3 linked regions of the Lytechinus pictus genome follow. The protein of the gene in region 2 binds, or shares a complex with, the protein of the main gene of each other region. Links are inferred from orthologs where the notes say so. Each region holds a gene or a part of one and is shown on either strand. Other genes may lie near its edges. The genes, in order: vacuolar protein sorting-associated protein 8 homolog, vacuolar protein sorting-associated protein 33A-like and vam6/Vps39-like protein.

Region 1 (7,274 bases), on a different chromosome or scaffold from region 2:
GGCTCCACGGCATCCCCTCCGTCAATAGAATGATGAGGGCCATTGGGCTCGAAGTGGTGGAGCTCCACCGATGCCTTAACTACATGTACAGCGTTTATGAAGAAAAGGGTGTGCTGACGCATCCTCCTAAATTTTGCTTTTTGACGGGGAAAAGGAGAAGAAATAAAGATAGATTTATATTAAATACATTCAGCTTACCACCTTTCTGAAAAATATGATGGAAAATAGCGAATTCTGATGACGAACAGATCAGGATCAGCAAGGTTCTTCTATGATCGCTCGATCACCATCAGCGCAGCTACAGGTGAGCATACAAACGTGCCAGCTAATCCCCTGATCCTGATGTGTTTGTCATCAAATTTTCCAGCATATTTTTCAAAAAGGTGGGCAGTGGTAAGCTGATTGTATTCAATATAAATTTATTTTATTTCTTCCTCTTTTCCCTTGTTAAAATTAAAGCAAAATTTAGGAGTAATCGAGGAGGTTGCAAAAGTGAACCCTTTTCTCCATAGTCGTTGTAGTTAAGGCGTCGTTGAAACTCCACCATTACGAGTGCAATGGCCATCATCCATCCGTCTGTGTAGGAGGAAAAAAAATGTTGAAAAACTCCTCCGAAACAGCGGATTTATGTCGAGTCTGCATGGGCCTAGGCCTACATGTACAATTGTACGAGAATTCAGTCTACAAAGTATGAAGATCAACTGGTGAGTATAGCCAGCGAAAGTCAGTGGAACAATCAGTTGTATGGTAGGGGGTTCTAAAGCTACGCACTACTCCATTGCGCATGCAATTTCAATGGCAAATAAATGCTCACTCTAGCTCTGTGTGTGAAGCTTAAGCTGTGACTGTATAGAGTGACGAACGATCCCTATTCAATATTTCTACAGAGTGCTTTCAGAGGCTGCAATAAATCCTTGAATGCAGAGAAAACCAACAATTTTTTGGAATTTTGGAGGTGGAGTAAAACCCTCAAACATCGGACGGTTCCAAAAATGACTTGAACTCCCTTCACTGTAACTACAGGGACCCGAACTGGCAGGGGACTTGCATGCATAAGAATACATGAACATACATGCTATTGAGCTGCACACACAGTAGATCCAAGTTGCTGCTCAAAAAAAAAAATTCCAGGGGTTAAATCCAGCGGTAAAATCCATAATTTTGACTTCCAGAGATTCTTACGACCCTCGCTAATTATGGACTCCAAAAGATCGATGACCAAAAAAATCTCGTAAGGGAGAAGTGACTTTCGTCAGAAACATCGCCGCTGCGAGATCGCACATGTTCGATCTATCGCAAAAAAATCTGCAAAGAAGAAATATGGCACTATCTCAAACATCGGACATATCGGCCGATTGAATTGGAAATGCGTGCTGTTAACGCGCGCGCAGGTTTCAAGAACGAAGTCGCGTGCAGCTGAGCAAAGAGCCGAAAGAGGTCCGTTGGGTAAGTAAATTATCATTATTTACCGAATTCTATATCAAAGTTATTTATAGTAATAATCAAAATTGGCATTTGCGCAGCTAAAATAAATCATTTTATCAACAAGTCAGCAATTTAATAGCCATACTTGAAATTATGTTATCCCCCCCCCCCCCCCGTTCCTGCCTTTATCTTAATTTCTCTTATCTTTGCTTATTGATTTGTATAATATATACTTTATTCATCGTGTAATCTTTTGTGTGTATCATGTGATATTCTAAATTATTTTGTGCGAACAAATTGAATTTCCATTTATAAATCATGATTGCAATTGGACAATGAAAATATCTGAATCTGAATTATTTTGGGGTCTACAGCACGATTTAAATCGCCGAAATTGATTGCGGCCAACAACTCTACTCGTCCAATATTTGGAGACGGCATCCGATTTTGGGCAAAAAAACAAACTTCTGGTAGTAAGTAAATAATTTCTGTTTAGCATAATAATTTTTTCATTTCTATTCTTTAATGACATTAATATTCAACATTTGTACTACGGAAATAAACATGATTTATATTTGATGCAACAATTGTATTTTTGTTTTAGTCCAATAATGCTTAAGTGTCCAATATTTGGGCACTTTGCTCTATATTCACTCTAATTTCTTTTTTTCCTTTAAATTAATAACACAGACATATTTTAGAAATTTCGGAACAGTAAATACTACTTCTTTGCATAATAAATCGAGAGCGTAACTTTTTAGGACCCCTTCTAAATCGGGCGGCGAAACACGGCGGGATTTTCGTAATGCTATTAGTGAGTTTTGTAACACTTTCTTCTTGGTTAAGGATCTTTAGAATTATAGAATATAATAGATCTAACTTAGAACTAGGCCTAGTGTCTAGTGACGTCTATATTTTACAAAATTAGGTAGGCCTAGTGAAACTTGAAGATGATTTGTTCAAATATTAAAATTGGCATAGTTTTTATAGTTTGAAAACAAAGTGCGTAGCTTTAGGTCCCCCAATCATACAGAGACTGAAGCTTTTGGTCTACACTTAAAGTGAAGAGACTAAAGAAAGACATGATTGAAAGAAAAAAAACGACTGACAAAACAACAACACACGTCAAAGTCAATAGGTGGGGCATAGCAGACTGGATTTTGCTCCTCGGGACACTTGCCTTGGTCTATTTTATGAATTAAAGTAAACCTTGAAAAGTGGACAACGTTTGCATAAACTATGAGCAAAACTCAACACAGACTTCTTTTTAAAAAAATCCTTAATACCAGTACTTACAAGTAATTCAGCTCAGACTCGACCTCAGAATCAGTCCAAATTTGGCTAACCGGCAGACAACAGCAGCAGAGTCTGGACTACGCCCCACAATCGAAGCTCCTGCCGGCCTAGCTAGGCTATAGAGCCTGCATGCATTTTATGCCGCGCGGGTCATTTTTTAATAATTTTTAATATCCCCCCCACAAAAAAATCCATATTTATTGTTCGAAATAAATTTACTTAATTTCTACAAGGCACAGATGAAATAATTTAGATTATCAAGTTTCATTAACTGATAGGTTCTGAAATATCCCCCTAGCAATTTTGTCTCTCCTGTCTAGCTCATGTTTTGTCTTTCCTCTCTCACCATACGCACTTAGAATGTTGGGCAACATACTGTCCACTGTGTTGGATAATGTATGTTGGTAGAAATATATATATTTATATCCAACTAAACAAATTCATTACCCAATTATGTAAGTTTTTATTACCCAATTTGGACAGATTTTTAACAATAGTTGTGTGGACAGTTGTATGTTGCCCAAAGTTGGTTACAAGTTGGACATTTTTGCCCAACTATATATTTTTAGAGTGTAGACCTATTTCTGTTTACAGCACCATTCGCACAATCATCCCCTTGTACTCGTTATGTTATACAATATCCTATGATTTTGTAATGTTTTAATTATAAAGTGACCTCGTTCAGCCCTCACAAAATGATTTATATGTGTCTGCAAGGAATATTCGACATTGAAACTTCCATTTTATTTGGGGGGTGCATGGGCACCGCTGAACGCTCCTTGGTATTGATAGCTTTGGACATATTGGGTATGTGACGTGGGGGTTGTATAACTAAATCATAAATCACTCAAACTGTTGGAATTTTAACAAACTTTGAAGTAAAATTTCTCTGAAATGGGTTTGAAATGTCGTACCTGCATGTGCGACGGTTCGATTGATCACCGACGACATGGTCATCTAAATGGTAAAAATAGCGATGTGAGATGGACGAACGCGTGATGTCGATCAAAAACAAAAAATCATTTTCCAAAGACACTACGAGAAAGAGGAAGGCAATAGACAGATAGAGGAACTGAGAGAGAGGGGAGAGGGAGAGCAGCAGACTGAAAGAGAACTTGGCCACAGAGCATCATTGCGTCCAACCGACATTTGGCATTTCTCAAAAGTTTTGGGCATTTTTATTAATATCCAGTGTGATGAAAATTTTGCCCATTCTAAAGTTATTGCTGCTTGTTTTTTTTAACCTTACTGGACAACATGCTTCCTGCGTTGGGTAAGATACTGCCTCAAATTGGTTGAACACATAATTACCCTCGTGGTGGTAAAATTTTAACCAATATTTTTTTTTACAGTATATGCACCCTATTGGGTGCAAGTGCACACACTTTACACCCTTTAGTGTGCAAACTTACACCCTATGGCCTACACTGTAAAAAATGAAGTGCTAATTTAGTGACTGCACTACGAGTGCTGATTTTCTTGTTCAAATTTATAAACTAGAAAATCGGCACTCGTAGTGCAGTCACTATACAAGCACTGTAAGTGCCAAATTAGCACATCATTTTTACAGTGTAATAAAGGGTGCTGTTATTGTAACTAGGGGTGCAAACTCGATTTTTTTTCTTAGTGTGCACGTAACTATTTCGTAAAGTGAAGAAAAAAGGGGAAGGAGACGAGAAAAACAGCTAGAAGAGGGAGAAAAATAAAAATGCAACGTGATGAGAGTTGTGTAACTCTATACCCTTTTATTACAATGATAAAGAAAACATGATTTCAAAGTTAGGTTATCGTGCTCTTTTCAATCTTGGCATTTTGATCACCCAACATCTATAGCTATATAGAATTTATTTCTCATGTACCTTTAATACCATATTAATAATTGCTATAATAATTTCTATAGCTCTTATTTTTATTTCATGGTTTAGGGAAGTAGCTGGAAATAGCTTACAGTTGGAATATTATTGAACTATAGTATTGGATGACGAGGAGGGTCAGGAGCTGGCATAGTAGGTAAGAAGTTATACGAAAATGATTCAGTTCTAAAAACTAGCGTTCAGTTTCCCTTCTTTTCCCCTTTTAATATAAATAAGGAAGAGTAAATATAATAATAAGACGGGGAAAGAAAGCAAGAGAGGAAGAAAGTGTGTGTGTGTGTGTGTGTGAGGGTGTGTGTGTGTGTGTGTGTGTGTGTGAGGGAGAGAGAGAGAGAAACATCCAAGGGCGGCTGGAGAAAGATAGAGAAAGATGTGAATAGATAAAAAAGTAGGAAGTTTCCGAACTGAGACGCAGAACGCTTTCAAGTTCAATGGAAATGTATTGTCAAATGGATTTAATGACAAAAAAACAACTAAAAACTCTTTGTCGAAGATTAATAATCAAATCAGCAGATCGCCCTACACTTTGCACAAACGACATTTTGCAATTGTTCGTCCACTCTGAAAATGAGGGCTAAACTGCTGTTCCTGTTCACCAATTTTCGACAAAGCCCTCCCAGGTGTTTTATTTGGCGGGCATTTTCAATACATTTACTTTTTTTTTATTTGATCTGCGTCGCGGTTTTTTTTATTAATTATTAAAGTAACACAATCACTGAAAATAAAAATGGGGAAGTGGACTTTCGTGATTCGAAAGTCCGCTCCCCCATCGTCCCGCTTTCAGTGGCATCATTTTCATCTTAGACATCTCTTATTTATCCAAATATTAGACTTTATACATTGTCACTTACCTGTAAATGATAGGTACTGACATTTATATTCATTACGCGACCGGTTCATCCTAACTACAAATAAAACAGTGAGAATAATATATACATTTTTCGAAAACCTAAAAAGACATCTGAAATTTTCTGATGAGTGACTATGTAATGGTGCTCTTTCTTTGATGAAACAAAAGAATAAAATATTTTGCACACCCTAATACAGAACAATTTCAAACACAAAAAAATATGAAATTTATTTAGAAATGCTAACATTTACTTGATCTCAATGAATATTAAATATTATTTAAATAAGGCGTTAATTAAAAAATATAAGTACACTGATCATGATTTTAGAAGAAATAATCACCTTTTCCTAATTGGAGTTAGATTTACTTAATCGAAGCAAGGATACATGAAATTTGATAAATGTATATGAACCCAAATAAATCAAGTAATTCAATTGAATTAAAATTCAAGTTAAAGCTACCTAAAAATCGAGAAATAATTTCAAATAATAAATTCTACTTATACAGTGCGTATCAAAAAAAGTTTACACTGAGACAAAATCCTGTAAAATTATACATTTGTAATATCCTGAAGATTTTTCCACATGTTAACATGGGTACAGATCCATTTAAGCAAATGACGATATAACTGTCGAAAAATATTTCCGCTTGGGTGAGCACCACTTACTTTTGAAAAGTTAGTGAAAAATGATTTGCGCAGAACTTTGAAATAGTTATGCGAATAACAGTAGACCTTAATAATGAAGAACACATGACATTTAGCTAGTAACATTGATTTGAAGATATCTTTTTACCTTTTTAAACTTGTTTTCTTACCCAAAACACTTCGAAGAGTGCCATTGCGCCCCCCCCCACTCCCCCACACACCGAGGCCATCGTGACGATATTTACACTGAGCTGTGATTTACATGAAATGGCTTAGGCTTGATTTTCATTTTGTTAATCATTGTCAAGCTTGGGAAAAGTGTGAAGAAACAAGAATTAAATGAAAAATGAAATGTAAACCCACTTTAAATAATAAAAACTTGAAAAACGTGAAAAAATGCTGGAGATGTCTGATATAAACATTTGTTTAGATTCAATTATGTCCTCAGATCCAGCTGGCACAAAAAGGGTAAAGGTTGTGCTTATTAATTTGTTAAAATTTTAAATTGAGTGGCAAAATTGTTACAAAATGCTTGAATGTATCCGTTTTATTTCAATTGACTAAAAGTGCAAGGGAAATGTATGAAAAATGTTTCACAGGGTAAGTTTGATTTCGCCTTTTCCCCTCGACACAGTGTGAAAACGAGCTTTTCTGCGCAAACAGATTTACAAAAATGGACAGTACTCACTCAAGTGTAATATTCTGTCAAATCTTTTACTTTCATTGGATAGATGAGACCCAAACCCAAGAATATATGTGAAAAAATTACCCACATGTATTTTTTAATTCCCAGGGCTTTTTCAAAGTGAAATTTTTTTTTTGATACGCACTGTATACATTAAGTGTTAAATACTTATTAAGATAATTTTTTACCGAGTATTAAAACAACGTTCTATAGTGTGTAGATACCTCATTATTTTGCATTAAGTCTTATTTTACACTCATTCTACAATATCAAGTTTGTTTTTACATTTATATATGATGAGCTACACAAACTTGAAGATTGAAAACACCCTAAAAATGTATCACACGAGTCACAAAATAGGTCCATATTTTACATTGCTTGAAAAGTATAGCAGATTGTATGAATTGTAGTTGATTACTTCTGAGGATCTTAGGACCTCAATAATTCCAGCAAAAAAAATTTCAATGTGTAAGCCCCTTCATTATGAAAAAAAAAACA
Region 2 (7,732 bases):
CTCATGCAAAATTTTAATATACCATAATTTGTTATATTCATTTCCAATTTTTATTAATTTGTCAGTGTTTTATTTGTCTCACTTTACTGTTCAAACCGTATTATTTTCTTCAGCCTGGAGTACCCCTATAAGTATGGGTATACAGCGGGAGATGTTGATTAGTGCCAAGATATGATCCTTTTCATCAATATTTTTTTCTTCCAAGATATTTTTATTGAAGACATTTTTAAGAATAGACCCTACATTAGAAAGAAGAACAATAGCTGATGAAATTTATCATATGATAATCCTCACTGGCAAATACTCTATCATGAGCATGATAAGTGAAGTCTGTGAAGAGCATTTTCAAACAAATAAACTGATGATAAGTGGGATTGCATTTTTTTTTGTACAGAATCTCCATCGTAATATCATGATAGGCTAATTTTCTTGATCTTTTAAATCCTTTTCAATATTTTAAAAATTAAATTAGTAAATATATACTTGCTGTCATTTCATGTTTAAAATGTAATAATAAGGAAATTTTTTAGGCCTATATAACAATTAATTACATTCCTTTACCCTTTCCTAGACAAGATTTTAAACTCGTAGGATGTGCAAATAATCATAACTAAATCTTAAGTTAAATCTAGATCGCTACGCACAAATTATAGATTTTGCCTAACTCAAATCCCCTAACAACACTTGTGCCTAACGGTGCCTTAACAGTGCTTTATGTGCCTTCTGACTGTGCGGTCATTCTACCCATGTTGTTAGTAGCTGATTTGTTAATGAATAATGATATACAGATTGTGATGTCAAGCATTGATCCCAGATGTAAATAATGCATTACTTTGACATTAGCCATCGCGACGAAATTACCAGTTGTAACAGGTCCCTTTCTTAGTGCAATGTTACGCTAACAGCGTTTCTGTGCGGCCGATACAGGTCTCTCCATGACCATAAAATCCCTGAGTTTTAAGCTGTTTCAATGTTAGGGAACTTACCGTCAACTTTCTCTCACAGAGAAGACTCTTCCTTGGCACAAAGAAAATGTGGAACTCTTTGCGGAAGCGTCCAGGGGTTTCCTCCGCCTTGCGGATATTGTCTGCAACAATTGTCATCAGGTCCAATCGAGGGCGCACAATGAATATAACATTCTGGATAGTACCACCTGCACCACTGGACGAACTCTTCAAAGGCAGATGACCATGTCGAAGGGGGAACATACGGTCAACTTCATGTTCCTAAATGAAGAGATATGAATTTGGCACTACTTACATGACAAAAATGATGTAAATTTGTTATAATTTCTTTGACATAGTATCTATAAACTAGACAAATGAGACTTTCTGAACAGCTCAAACTTTATTCAATGTACAAGCTATGGCCTATATGCTACCCTACTACCATACAATGACAAAGGAAGAAAGTTATTTTTTTAATGGTATTTTTGTGTGTCCAAGTGAACTCGTCTTCAATGTTAGATGGAAGGTACAATGGCACTGCATAGATACCAGTGTTAACGGTATTCAGAGATAGAACATTATTTTCAAATACCTCTTTTTTTATTTTATTCTATTTCTTCTTCATCAAGACTGTCTTCTTGTCAGCTTGACCTCCCACAACTAATGTTGTAGTGCAAGAGCAATAACACCTTCATCGATCATTATACAGCTGTAGACAACCTACCTTTAACAAGGAATATTCAGCGATGAGCCCAATAGGTCCCGTAAGAAAATCATCCCAGACCACTGCCTGCATGTAAAATGATGATCGACAGAAGAATACGGTAATATGGTTCATAAACAAAAGTTATGTATGACTAGTGACCTGTTGTGCTAACAATAAAAAAAAATCCCAAGTGAAATTTTGATTGTAACTTTCATTTGATGAATATTTTGTCAAATTTGAATTGAATTGATTTGAATATTCAATTTAATAATTTTTTAGGACCAATTAAAAAAAATAATCAGTATCATGCTTATTTATTTCTTTTATTAAATATTAAATATCACAATTCTTTTGTTTTGAGGACTTGTTTTTTTTTTTACATAAATGTCACATTTTTGTTACAAAATTGTTTTAATAAATCCCCAGAAACGACGTTATTCCTGTAAAACATTAGATTTAGATACCAACGACTGGCAACGTAACTGGCCTGCATAAAACAAAAAAGGTGTAAATTTACAATCACCCCTAACTTAGACCAAAAGCTTTGGTCTCAGTTTTATTGGTTGTTCTGCTGAACTCTGTTGGCTCCACTCACAAATTATAGACTGAAGTAAGTCACTTTTTCCCCCCTTTAAAAAGTTTTTTTTTGTGTGTGTATTTAAGGCCAAAACTGAATATTAATCTTCATTTTGGTCCAGTTCTATAATATAGGCCTATATTTTTATGAAATAAAGACAAAAATCGAAGAGCCGGCCCGTCGTTTTTTTTTTGTCTTGTTAACCCCCCAGGCCTAATAATGTATAGCTGAGCTGAACCGATATCCAGTTCAACATGTTCAATACAATTACAACAGAGTCTGACACACCCAAGTCCACCCCCCTCAAGTCCACCCCCCCCCCCCCCCCCTTTCCCGTAATCATATGCCCCAGTCACACAACAGGCTCGTCAGAGTCGTGGAACGTAATTAAAGTTAGACCTAGGCCTAGGCCTACTCGTTAAATTTGTAAATTTGTAAATTTGTTGTAAACGAATTCTAATCTAAGTTAAGCAGTACATCAATCAAACTCACCTTACTCCCTATGCATTTGTCCAAACAATCTAAGAGTTCTCTTCTGGCAACTTCTCTCCAAAAGGCTAAATTCACACGTCCACTGACAAGATGTGTGGCCATTTTTTTTTCTTCGTGGATATATGCATACAAAATGAACCGTTGCTGCATATAAATTTGTGCAAGAAAGACCGCGGAGGCCGAGCTAGCTCTAGCTACCGGGGCGCGGCGGCGCGGCGGGCGGGCGGATCGGAGACCACATGTACGTAGCTAAAAAAGGCCAAACAGATTTAGTTCAAGAGAGTGGTTGATTTCATACGCAGCGCGCAGGCAATTGCATAACTAGGCACGTCCCCACTCCCGTCGGCCTACAAAACAAAAATAAAAATATACGGAGGAAAGGGAAGAGATTAGGAGAAATTAAAGAAACAAGGTTAAAAGAGAATAAAAAAGAAAATGGAAATATTAGAAATATCTTTAAAATTCAACCATTGTTAAATGACCGATAAAATTTGAATTATTTTACAATATCAAAAAAATATTCCTTGAAAATTTTCCAACTGATATCTCGGCATGCAAGTCCATACTGAAGAATTAAAATTTATTGATACCCCTAGCTGTTACAAATTAGTTTTAATCCACGGGCGGCTGAAGCACTAAAAAATGCCCCTATTAGAAAAACAGTGCACCCGGCTTACTAACTTTTTCACTCGAGTGCCTCTTTCATCTTCATATAGTGAAAGGTCAAGTCCACCCCAGAAAATGTTGATTTGAATAAATATAGAAAAATCAAACTAGCATAACGCTTAAATTTCATCAAAATCGCAAATGACTGACATTTCAGTTTGGCTCTGTTATTTTTCACAAAACACTGAAATGCACAACACAGTGATATGCAAATGAGACCCTCACTCACTATTTCTTTTGTTTTATTGTACTTGTTTGAATTATACAATATTTCATTTTTTACAGATAAGTATGACAATAAGGGACCAACTTGACTGAACCACACATGTATAGCGTTAAACAATGATAATGAATTGCACATGTTTATGGGGGAATTAATCGTGTTTCACTTGACAATTAGGAGAAAATTTCATATAATAAGATACAAAAGAAATATGAGTGGATGACGTCATCAGTGTCCTCATTCGCATACCGACCAGGATCTGCATTTTATGACTGTTTTGTGAAATTAAGCGAAACTTTAAAATGTCATAACTTTCTCAATTTTGATGAAATTTTCAGCGTTGGGCCACTACAGTAAATATATTTACCTATTTTTTTGTTTGTAAAACAACCATAACTGGTCTCCTTTATTCATTTCATTTCAAAGTAGTACATGTGCATCAATCTTTAATATTTGCCTCCATTTCTGGAGAGAGATACACGGTTTTCTATATTGATCAGGGGCGTAACAGGGGTCGATGGCCGGGGGGGGGGGGGGTGGGGCAAGAGCCAAAAATTTGCCGGTCATAATCATGATATGAACAGGCAGTGTTGTAACGAGGCAAAATATTTGAGAGGACCAGACATGGCGTACCCGGCAGAATTTATTCAAAAAACAAAGTTGCGAGCGAGCAGAAAGTCACATTTTGTGACAGATTTTGACATAATATTCAGAAAATGATATCATTTTTCACCCTTCTCTCTTTCCTTTTCTTTCCTTGTTAATTTTTTTGTCTGGATACGCCACTGTGAACAGGATTCTTTTTTTTTTAATGATTGTGCGCGAAGATCTATACATGCGGGCGGCGGTATAGCGTGAAGAGTATAAAAACAAAAAAAGAGGTGCACTGCAGTATTATGGCGCATGAGCCAAAAAGCTGCGTAATACAAGTCCAGAGCGAGCGAAGCCAGCGAGAAAAAAATAAACATTTTCATGAGAATATAACTTTGAGACATTTCTGACATTATATTCAGTAAATAGGCTCCAACATCATATCTTGCACTTTTCCTTTGCTTTTCTTTCCTCCTTTTCTTTTTTTTGTTTTTTTTGTTTTTGTTCGGGTTGTAGAACTTTTGGGGGCCATGGCCAAACCGCCTGTGCTATGCGAGTGGGAGAAGCGCATGCAGAGCCACCGGAACCTCTTGATATCAAAGCCATTTTAAACCTTACAGAATTTTAATCGAATCGCAGATACATACAGTATATATCTTTTACACAAAATTCAACGCAGTTGCGCAATGAGACAAATATTTTGAGGGGTCACAAGATAGTAATGTGGGAAAATCGAGCGAAGCGAGCCCGAAAATGGCCTTTTGAAATGAAATTCTAATGAATTATTTGATAGATTTTTACATTAAATTCAGCAAATAACATATTTCATTGTTTTCCATTCATTTCATTGCGTTGCCTTCTATTTTTTTTTATTCCCCCTTCTGTGTGGAAGCAAGATCCCCCCTGCACGCCAGTAAAAGTTTAATGTAGGAAGGAGGCCATACAGGGTCGTTCCGGAGCCCTTTGAAGGTTACAGATGAAGAGCCCCTATATACTGCTTGGGGTATATGGGGCAGAGCCCCCGGTAGCTTTGGACATTTAGCCAAAGTAAACACTTGAAAGACTTTTTGACGGTAACTCTTGCCAGCGTAAAGCTTGCCTATATAGGTATAGGGCATTATAACGAAATAATAACATGAGGATTTCAAGCATTTGGCTATAGGGACATTTTTGTCCTGATTGCGACCATTATTGCATAAAATTTAGCAAGTTTAATTGTAGTCCATCCCTTCCTTCCTCTACCCCCTGCTACTAATTATTTTTAATCCTCGGCAGCCCGGTCGTGTTATTACGTTCTTTTTTTTTTTTCTTGTCCCTTGAGTTTTTTCGTTATCCAAATTAGCTCTTGGCTCATTCCATCGGGTATAAATTAATTTCCCGCCTTTGTTTGCTATTTGGATCATCTTTTAATTTATTTTCCGTTCTAAGTAATCATGCTAATGTATAATAGGCCTATTTCGGAATGATTTGTTTTTTCTCACATGTTTTTCTTTCGTTCCTTTTCCCGCTTCCCTTCCGTTTTCCATTTTTAATGTTTTTTTTCTATTCACCTTTTCCCTTTTCCTTTTCCTCCGTTCCTTCCCCTTTCCTTTTCCCTTTCTTTCTCGCTCCCTTTTCTCGTTTTCCCGGTGAAATCTGCCGCGGGGATACACTGGACGTATAGCAAGTTTTCAACATAACAGGTGAAAAAAAAATGTTAATTAGTCTTTTAATTGTTATTTTTCACTTGGATTCATTTCCAACAAAACTTTTATAAAAAGCAAATAATAATTCAAAATAATATCTATATCCTTTTTCTTTTTTTCAACTGATATCAATACTAGAAAATAGGCCTATATAATCTGCAAACGAAAATTTAGCAAGAAGTATTTTTTACTTTTTTCCCCAAAACATTGCCCTTGTTACATTGCAAGAAAAAAAACATGCTAACAATCTCCTTTTTTATTTTTACGTAATTATGATATCGCCCATATCGCAAAATTGATATCCGTCCAACATCACAATGTTGACAATAGGGAAAGGTTGGCAAAGTGTCAACATATTGGACCAACGATGTCGCAAAGGTATTGTTGGGCCAACATCAGTACAAAGTCAACAATTTCGTCAGTCGCGAAATGTTGGCAATTGGAAAAAACACATTGTTGAGCCAATGGGATGTAAATATAGGCCTATATACTTTGACCTGGTATGACAGTCATCACAAAACTTATATTGCGCCAGCAACATCACAGTGTACGTTGACATTAGCATGTTTATGAAAGGTCTAGAAAGCCCCTGGACTGAGTGTCAAAATATATATCTGTTCAGTGGGCCAAGGTTAAAATCTAGACTTTTGCATGTTGTCGCAAAAGTTGTAATAATGTTCTAAGGAAACTAAATTCAGTACTGCAATTGAAACCACCGATTTAATCTTGGCGATGCTGATTGGTGCGAAAAATGCACATTCATTTCCAATGAACAAATTCAAGCACGTGCCCTTGAATTTAATTTATTGTGTATGATACTGTACACCACTGGCGGATCCAGGGGGGGGGGGCACAGCCGGCCCGTGCCCCCCTTTTGAGAAGCAAAACTAAGTTTTGTAATGTAAAACTGATGCCATTAAAACAGAAGTGTGCCCCCCCCCTTTGAAAGTGAATACTTTTTTTAAATATCACTTTTTTTTAACCCCCCCCCCTTTTTTTTGCTTGTCAAATTTTTCCTCGGAAAAATGTGCCCCCCCCCCCCCATTTTGGAAAATCCTTGATCCGCCCCTGCTGTACACTGTTAAAAATACTAAAATTTCACAAAGAAAAATCGTAATTTACAGGATGTTTACCTTTTAAAAACAGACGACACAATGATTTAACAAACCGAACGTATTTACGCAGATAATATTGTGTAACATAGAATTTGTATTATTGCATGGGGTGTTTGTGTTGATTTTCATTTGAATATATAGACTTTTACTACTCCAGAAAAAGCTTTGCGCGTTATTTGCCATTCTCATTATCGGGCACACACGAATGTTCTTTTCAAAACTCATGGTATTCTTAATATAAGATACATGATCTTTACCATTATAATCTTGGATATACAACCTTAGTAGAGATGAACTATACCAGATGTATTTATTCTATGTTTACAAGGAATATCAATATCCATCCCTAACCTATACAAGATCTGCTGGACTTTTCCATTTACCTAGAACAAGGACATTATTAACAAACAAACTGTTCATAATTATCTTCTGCTGGCATCAAACTTTGGAACTCACTTTCACTAGCTTTACGAAATAAGCATACAATATAGCTTCAATAGAGCATTAGAATATAACCTCATGCACTAATAACCGTACACTCAAATTATTCATTCTACTTAGGATATCTTGAGGATATCTTCTATTCTTCCGTATCCCCCCCCCCCCCCCTCCTCCCTTCATTTCGCTTCTTTTCCGTCTCTGGCTCTTTTAATTTGATCTATACCTGTGGAGATTTGTTTTTTGTTTGTTTTCTTTTACTCGTTTCTTGACTTTTTTCAAGTTTGTCCGT
Region 3 (7,912 bases), on a different chromosome or scaffold from region 2:
AGCGCGGGCCGTTGAAACTCCAAGATCCGAAAGTGCGCATGCCCGGAATATCGGGCTTGTTGCCTCGCTCGAGCAGATATAGCTCCTCGTGGGATGGTGCAGACGGGGTTTCTTGAATCTCGAGATTAATCGCGAAGAGGGCTGATCGGGCTAAAATCTCGAGATTGAGCAAACTCGGGATGGTGCAGCACCGCCTACCATGACTACACATATAATTCATTTGAGATTATGAATGCCATCATAAATAGATAACTGATCATAATTTTGAGACAAGATGCTTTTTTTTTCCGAAAAAGTCTAATTCATTAAAAAAATTCAATCATAGTGACTTCAGAGCATATCAGTTGTGATTTAAAAACAGGGGCCCGTAACACAAAGCTTTAATAGCAATCATCATAGAACATTTTTTACGATTGATTGCATTTACTACAATACAATGTACAATCAATCGTAAAAATCATGTGTACGATTGATCGCTAACCGTTATGTTACGGGACCCTGATTAGCCCTTTACTTCAAATATGTGACTAACCTTGCACCAAATTCATATGCAATGTAGTTTATATCCATATTTTTTACATAAAAAATTGGGTACATAAAGTTCAAAACTTTTACTGATTTGTGATTTTATTGCCAAAGTTGGATCGCAGCAGATTGCACTGTAAGGCAGGCTTCATTGTAAACAATTTACAATAATTGTGAACAATGTCTACAATTAAGCCTGTCTCACGCAGACTTTAGTAACTTGTGTTCAGAAATATAATATACATGTAATTCCACTTCTACTGTACAGTATGCTTCATCACATCATCTACTCATGATGGATAATGCCGCATTACTTACATGTACAAATGTTCAATACAATCAAATTCATATCTGTTTCATAGAGTGTACTCTATATGGAATCATTTATCAATTATGTGGAAGCACCTGCACAATTTGTAAGCTATCATAGCTTCACAAACACAGGTATTCAATAATATCACCTTCAAAAGACTGCTCGCACATGTCCCTAACTTTTTTTTGAAACTAGAGCCTAGTGTGAACACAGACCTACATGTAGTCAGCTGGGTAACTGCACAGCTGACACCTAAATCCTGAATCAGTCACATGAATATGACTTACATCAAACACTTGGGAGATTACTTTCACTGCCTATGAAGTGTCATACTCTGAACAACACACAACATGAGGACCATATTATGTACATGTCAGTGCTCTAGACCATACAGTAATAAATACTCTTAATACAAACAAGTGCGTATATACTTTGTATATAGCACACAAATTTGAAACAGAATTTATACCAGTATTTCAATTGGGATCAACTTACAGTACAACCATGTGACTTTCAGTACATTAACCTATTTTTAAACTTGTCTGATTTTGAAAAATTAACTATAGATAGATGACCCATAAAATAATTTTGAATGACCTAACAAAAGTGTAAAATTATGCAAACGATGCAAGTTAAGATTTGATTTAGCAATCAAAAGAATCAAAGGAAAAGATGTACATGTATAAACAAATTAATAAAACAAATTAAAAATAAAACATATTAAACATCTTATCAAGGTATTGCCCTGCATCTGATGTACTGTAGCTGTAACAAAGTGTGTTTCTGGTGATTTTAGTTTTTGTTAGATATTTCCAAGCCACAAACATGACCACAAAACCAGTTTGAATAAACAATTCAGCTACATTCAAGAGGAAATATTGAGGTCATTAAATAAAAGAAGTTATATACTGAAATCAGACCAATGCCTTACAATGTATCTTAATAAAAACAACCAACAGTTTTCTGTTTTCTTTTCTTTTAATGGCCATCAAACAACTTGCGATTGGACTGCAACCCAATTTTGGAATAAAACAAAGTAAAACTTGATGCAAATATTGATACACAGAACATCTTGCTGTTTAAAATATGCTACCATCCCTAATATTAGAAAAACGTCATAGCAAAGTTTCTATGACTGGCTATGATTTTAAACCAATTTGGCCTTTACTACAAAATACAGGCCTACAATCATCCATAATTGTTTTTTGCGGTTAATATGAAACTTAAATAAAACTAAACTTTTTATTCACTTTTTCAGAAAATAAGCAAAATGCAATTTGTTCCAAAATCTATTGATAATATACAATATTATTTACAAAGTCATTCCAATGATGGACTACTTACATTGCCCTCCTGTGATGCTGTATACCAGAAGGTGTCCTGGTTTTGTTCCCACAAGCAATTGATCTCCTGCAAATGAATGAAAGATAATCATAAATTCTTACAAAATACAGCACATCCATTATGGTGCTATTGCAACTAAGCCATGGAAATAATCCAGCTTAAAACATCCATATGTACACTGCATCATAAAACTGATTTTTATTCTTACAATAAAAAACCAAATGCTAATAATTTTACTGCTACATGTAAATCTACTTTGAAAGCGACAAATTTCATGAGCTCGATATCTGAAAATTGTGATTTTTATGCAGCTGATTTTCAAATCATGTTACAATATTCAATGCACACTGGATTCCAAGTATATGACTTTAATATTAATTACTAAAAGGTCAAAGGAATGCCTCTTTATTTGGCTCACTGGGTGAAAAGTTTTTAGTCCGTTTCGATTCACTAACCCTTGACAAAAACTTCATCATGAAGGGCATTTAGTTCTGCATGCGAAAATTCCTTATTATTCACCAGAGGTGATCAGAGGCATCAGGTCATTAACCTCAACCCATTACAAAAGGAAGGATGGGAAATAAATACTAAGATGCAGACCTACTTGTGGCCTGCAAAACTTGTGCAAAACATAGACTTACCATGGCAGGCTATTGATTCTATAGGTAGAGGAAGCTTCTCCAAGATAGGACGTGCCTCATAAGCATCATGCATGGTGGATCAGAGAGTAATCTTGGCAGCTAGAAGATCACTCTGTGTTGTTCCTGGTTCTTGATTAATTTAACATGTTGCAGGTATGCCCACTGACTCCGACATGTTATCTGTGAACAGTTAAGATCAAATCTTTAAAACATCAATTAAAAATCAAATTCCCCAAATACTCCAACTCACAACTGTTTTAAAGTTAGGGCAAAATTCTTAGCCATGTTGTATTTATGAGATACAGACTCTGCAGTTTTAAGAAAAGTTACTTAGCCAATTACCCTATATCTGTCACGCGAAAAAAAACTCTTAGCCAAATTCTAAGACAAAATTCTTAGCCAATTCTTTATGGAATACGCGTTTTGGCTAACAATTTTGTCTCAGACAGAAAATAAGACAAAATGCTTCAATTTTTTACCTAAGCATGCTTATCTCGTTAGTGGAATACGGGCCCTGGCCCTAATATGGTTTTCATTTTCGAATCATCACAGTCACATTACAGTACACTAGCACTTTCTGCTGTCTGCGCCTGATTAAAACCCTGAAGTTTAATAGAAATTGGCCTGTCTGCTGCAACTGATAGATGGCACACCGTGTCCACCAAATTTTTGAAGAAGGAATTGTTGAAGAAGGAGTGAAACTGACCCGGAAGTAAACCTTGATTTTGGGTCAGAATTGAGCAAGATGGCAGCTTCCTGTAGATATATACAAATACTAGTTTCCAGTTTAAAAAGTGTAATATTGATTTTTGCATAAATTTCAAAACACATATCATACAATTTAAATATTAAATTTTTTACCAGATCTACTGGAAAATGAATTTGATTCTGCAGACCTAATTATTCAATATTGACGAGCCACACTGTACTATGAAATTTGAAAAGCAATGAAAACTTTAAAAATTCTGGAAGCTCTTTTGTTTTAAGTTTTGACACATTCTCAGATCATTTTAATAGAGATTTGAAAAACAAACAAACATTGGTTCCGTAAATTGTTAAACACAATTTGTTATATCCATCGAATAAAGTTTTCAACTCCAAAATTCCATCTATCTAGAAGGCCTTATTTTTCCATAAAAAATTGTAGAATCTCTGCAATATTTCCAAAGCACACAGAGGCTTAGCCCGGATTTAAGAAACAGTATCACCAAAAAAATAGCTAAAATCAAGAAATCTGTGGTTTTGTTCCAAGTTTCATAGTTTTCTTGTGAATTTAGATTTGTATCTTCAAACAGAAAATAAAACAAACAAGGGAGAAAGTCAACCACATTGAACTCGTATTAAAATAATGTCAAGTGAAACGTCCGAGTTGCCTTCACTCAACATTGAATTTGAGCGTGATACAGATACGAATGGCTGTTGCGACTTCCGGGTTACATATTGCCTGCAGTGTGGTGCAATTCAGTGGCTCTAGCATGGATTGACGTTGAACGCATGATTTGTGACACATGTCCAATCATGGACCTATGAAGAGATGGACGATTAACACGAGCATTTCTTTGATCCAATGATAGTTACCGTCACCTGGTTATGTGCATCATAATAAGAACATACCTGTGTTGTGACAATAGCAATTACCATGACTACCAAGATGTATCTGATCACTTAAAGACGGATCAGTTTCCCAAGGTCTTACATGTAGTTTTGTTGGCTGATACCGTTTCAGCTTGTGCCTTTCAATCAACATGCTAATGTGGAGCAACAAACTTGAGAACAGACGATTTCTGTGATATGAAATATGATATCATTCTATCCAGACACTTCTGGACGCACGTAAGGACCTCAATAGCATTGAGAGATACATGATCTATACACGTTATGTGCCACATATATCTGGAATATTATGGAGAAATTTGAAATGATTAGCAATCAATGACAAGTGTGCCTAGTAATATGACAACATTTTCCCAAATAAAACACATGGAATTAAGATTACAAAAGGTAAACAAGAACTGCACATCGATTTTCCATGATTCAAGTGATTTGTTATCAACTGCGCATACAATCTGTGAAATATAAAGTTCCAATCACGAACTGCTTCAAGGCCATTCTCGCGGTAGCGATCATAGGACCAAAGTAGACAAGTATGAAGAGAATGTTATTCAGATGACAATAACAGTCACCTGTGAATTTATTATCTACCGTAAGCGATGAATTCCATCTTTTCATAGGTCCATGGTCAAATGAAGGATAGAATCTAGTCTGCAGGCACAGACCCTGATTGAAAGCCTATGGGACGCAGAAAAAGACAATTTTCAAATATTTTTTCAAGTTGAGAATTCTCTGAAAGAATTTCATTTGACAACTTGCAACTTAGTGTGATAAAAGTCACAACACTCTAGTATATCTAAGGCAAGTTTCATGTCATTCTAATTACAGACTCTAATTAAACAAATTAATGACATGTTACGTATGGGACATTTTGTCCCCATAGAGAACGAACGCAATTTTCTCCATAATTTTGAAAATTAGAATTTGAAATATGGAAATAACAAGAGTTTTTTCTTTTAAGATGTTCTGAGATATATTTGATCTGACTGAAAAGGAAATTAGCCATTTCAACATTTTTTTCATGTTTTCCATGGTTTCATGAATTTCTTGCATATTTCTATGGTTTTTATTTTTTCATATTTTTCCATTTTCACAATTATTTTTTTTTGCTTGAATTTTTTTTAATCAGTATTTATAACAAATCAGATTTTAGAAACTAAAGAAAAGGTAAATAAATCACTATTAAGAGCACTCTTGAAATATTTTTTTCTCCATTCACTTTGTACACAAAGCTCCCCATTGACATTGTGTGTAAATACATGTCACATACATGTACATTACGTAACAATTTTTTGATTAACTTTTAATTAAAAAGTAACCTACATTTTTGAAACTTTTTGTGGTATAATATTTTCATACTCAATAAAATAAAACTTCCCAGAGATGCATCATGCAAATATGTATTGTATTCTGAGAAATAACTTTAAAAATATCCTCAAAATTTTGGTATGGGACATTCCATCCTTAGACAAGAACCAATTTGCATATTCAATTAGATGACACCACTTTTGTCCCCCGAGAGTAATAAGATTTTAGGGGGTCCATGTCCCATCTATGACTAAATCTCACAAGTTTTGTTTTGATTTTCTATGATTTTTTATAATTGTCCCATACGTAACACCCATTTTACCAATTATGCAAATTAAGTGCCCCAAATTAGCATAAATTTGAATATTATAAACATTTTCTTAATGAACTTTTAAAATTCAACATTTGGGCTTTCTTACTCCATCAAAGATAACTTCTTAAAATAATGAAATTTTGTCTTCTAGGGTGACCCTTTCTTGGACTTGCCCATGTATATTTTGTCCTATCTACATGTAGCTAGGCAGAGCCTAGATCTTATCAGATATAGACATAATTTCGGGTTTAATCAACCTTGAAAGGCTATATCTAGTCTAGGTTCTATTTCTTTTGGAAAAATTAGAAAGTAAAAAAGGGGCCTAAGCTTTCGATCCTAGCAGAATCTTCGTCGGAGGCAAAATGACAAACATATAAAGTGGAACAACCATAATATAGACCACAAACAAGCTACAGCAACACTAGAAACAAGGAGACAAAAGAGGCATTAGTGAGTAGAGAAGACCAATCAGGTTAGTGAAGGGGATGAAAGAAAAGGAGTATAGGCAGACACAAAGGGAAGTTAGTGTAAGTAAGGCCAGTAAAAGACCTCAAGCCAAGAGGGATTAAAATAATGAGGCAGGCAACATCAAACAGGATCTGGAACAAAACAGTGATAATGGGATGAAAAACAAGAGAATTAGTGAGAGGTGGGTCAAACAGGTTACAAAGAAAGGCTTAATAAACTGGTGCATAAGAGTGGGGGGGAAAAAAGAAAAAGAGTGGGGGGAAAAAAAGAAAAAGAATGGGGAACAACTGATAATGTGCAAAAGACATATAAGTATATATGATAAAGCATTAAACAAACTAAGAGAAGAAGGTAAGTGTAAATATGTATCTATAAGTGATATGTATATAAATATATCCAAAAAAGAAATGTATATGAAAAAATATATAAATACACATATGGTGTAACTGATATTGTAATCCGCTAGGTGTGACGGGAAAAAAACATAAGACTATATAGTAGGAAAAAAAAAAAAAAAAAAAAAACCTGTATATGTGAAAAAGAGGAAGCAAATTGCCTAAAAAGGTAAAAGCAAATATAGAAGAGAGGGGGTGTATTATGAAGAAACCATAGTATACATGTAAATAAGCAAATGTGGTAAATCTAAAAGAGGTGAGTGGAGAAATAACAAATATATATATATATATAATAATAATAATTATTATATCGCCTGAATAAGGAAGGAAAAAATGGAGCTGAGCTTGTATGAGATATGGGAGGAAAGTAGAGTAAGAAACTATAATGTAACTATTCAAAAGAGCTGAGGGGAAAAATTATATGTATATATAAATTGAAAGTGGATAGGAAAGAAAAATCAGTCGTTCCCCTCTTGGATGTTCAGGCCATGAGGTTGGGTGGTGGAAAAAAAGTCAAAGGCCTAAATTTTTATAAAATCTGATTTGCTGAGCCTGAGTGTAACCAACAGAACACTCAATGTACATATACGTTACACTTACAGTCATACAGAGACTGCACTCAAGGGTTCATTACATGCCGCCGTGCACAGGAAAATCAAGGCTGAGCTGACCCTTCCACTTCTTTGGAGATTCCAGGAGTCCAGATGAAACACTTCCATGGGATTGCATAAAATTAGATACTTTGACGAAATCTAAAATCTAATCTAATTGTTCAATTACACTAATACCTTGGTCACATTTGCTCTACGGCGGCCGTACGGCGAGTCAAAAACAGCTGTTTTATTAATTTTAATTCAAATCACCTATATGCAGCTGGTACAAAAAATGTTAAAATGGCTGTTTTCAAGCTGGCATACGGCCGCCGTAGAGCAAATGTGACCAAGGTATTACCGATCAATATAAAGTCCCTTTGGTGACTTCTTTTAGCATTCTG

The links.
Region 1: vacuolar protein sorting-associated protein 33A-like (region 2) and vacuolar protein sorting-associated protein 8 homolog share a complex: the UniProt entries of both Drosophila melanogaster proteins name them as parts of the class C core vacuole/endosome tethering (CORVET) complex. The link is inferred for Lytechinus pictus from reciprocal best matches to the Drosophila melanogaster genes car and Vps8.
Region 3: vacuolar protein sorting-associated protein 33A-like (region 2) and vam6/Vps39-like protein share a complex: the UniProt entries of both Drosophila melanogaster proteins name them as parts of the homotypic fusion and vacuole protein sorting (HOPS) complex. The link is inferred for Lytechinus pictus from reciprocal best matches to the Drosophila melanogaster genes car and Vps39.

The regions. Positions count from the first base shown.
Region 1 is NC_087245.1:17,278,538-17,285,811, forward strand, and holds the start of vacuolar protein sorting-associated protein 8 homolog, read right to left. Parts: upstream 3,084-7,274; 5' UTR 2,722-3,083; intron 1-2,721. UniProt on the Drosophila melanogaster protein: Part of the class C core vacuole/endosome tethering (CORVET) complex involved in endo-lysosomal vesicle trafficking and lysosome biogenesis by facilitating docking and fusion of endosomal vesicles.
Region 2 is NC_087246.1:16,839,419-16,847,150, forward strand, and holds the start of vacuolar protein sorting-associated protein 33A-like, read right to left. Parts: upstream 3,084-7,732; 5' UTR 2,873-3,083; coding exon 2,723-2,872; intron 1,738-2,722; coding exon 1,672-1,737; intron 1,227-1,671; coding exon 987-1,226; intron 1-986. UniProt on the Drosophila melanogaster protein: Core component of the class C core vacuole/endosome tethering (CORVET) and the homotypic fusion and vacuole protein sorting (HOPS) tethering complexes involved in endo-lysosomal vesicle trafficking and lysosome biogenesis.
Region 3 is NC_087251.1:20,216,126-20,224,037, forward strand, and holds the start of vam6/Vps39-like protein, read right to left. Parts: upstream 3,037-7,912; 5' UTR 2,897-3,036; coding exon 2,824-2,896; intron 2,249-2,823; coding exon 2,183-2,248; intron 1-2,182. UniProt on the Drosophila melanogaster protein: Part of the homotypic fusion and vacuole protein sorting (HOPS) tethering complex involved in endo-lysosomal vesicle trafficking and lysosome biogenesis.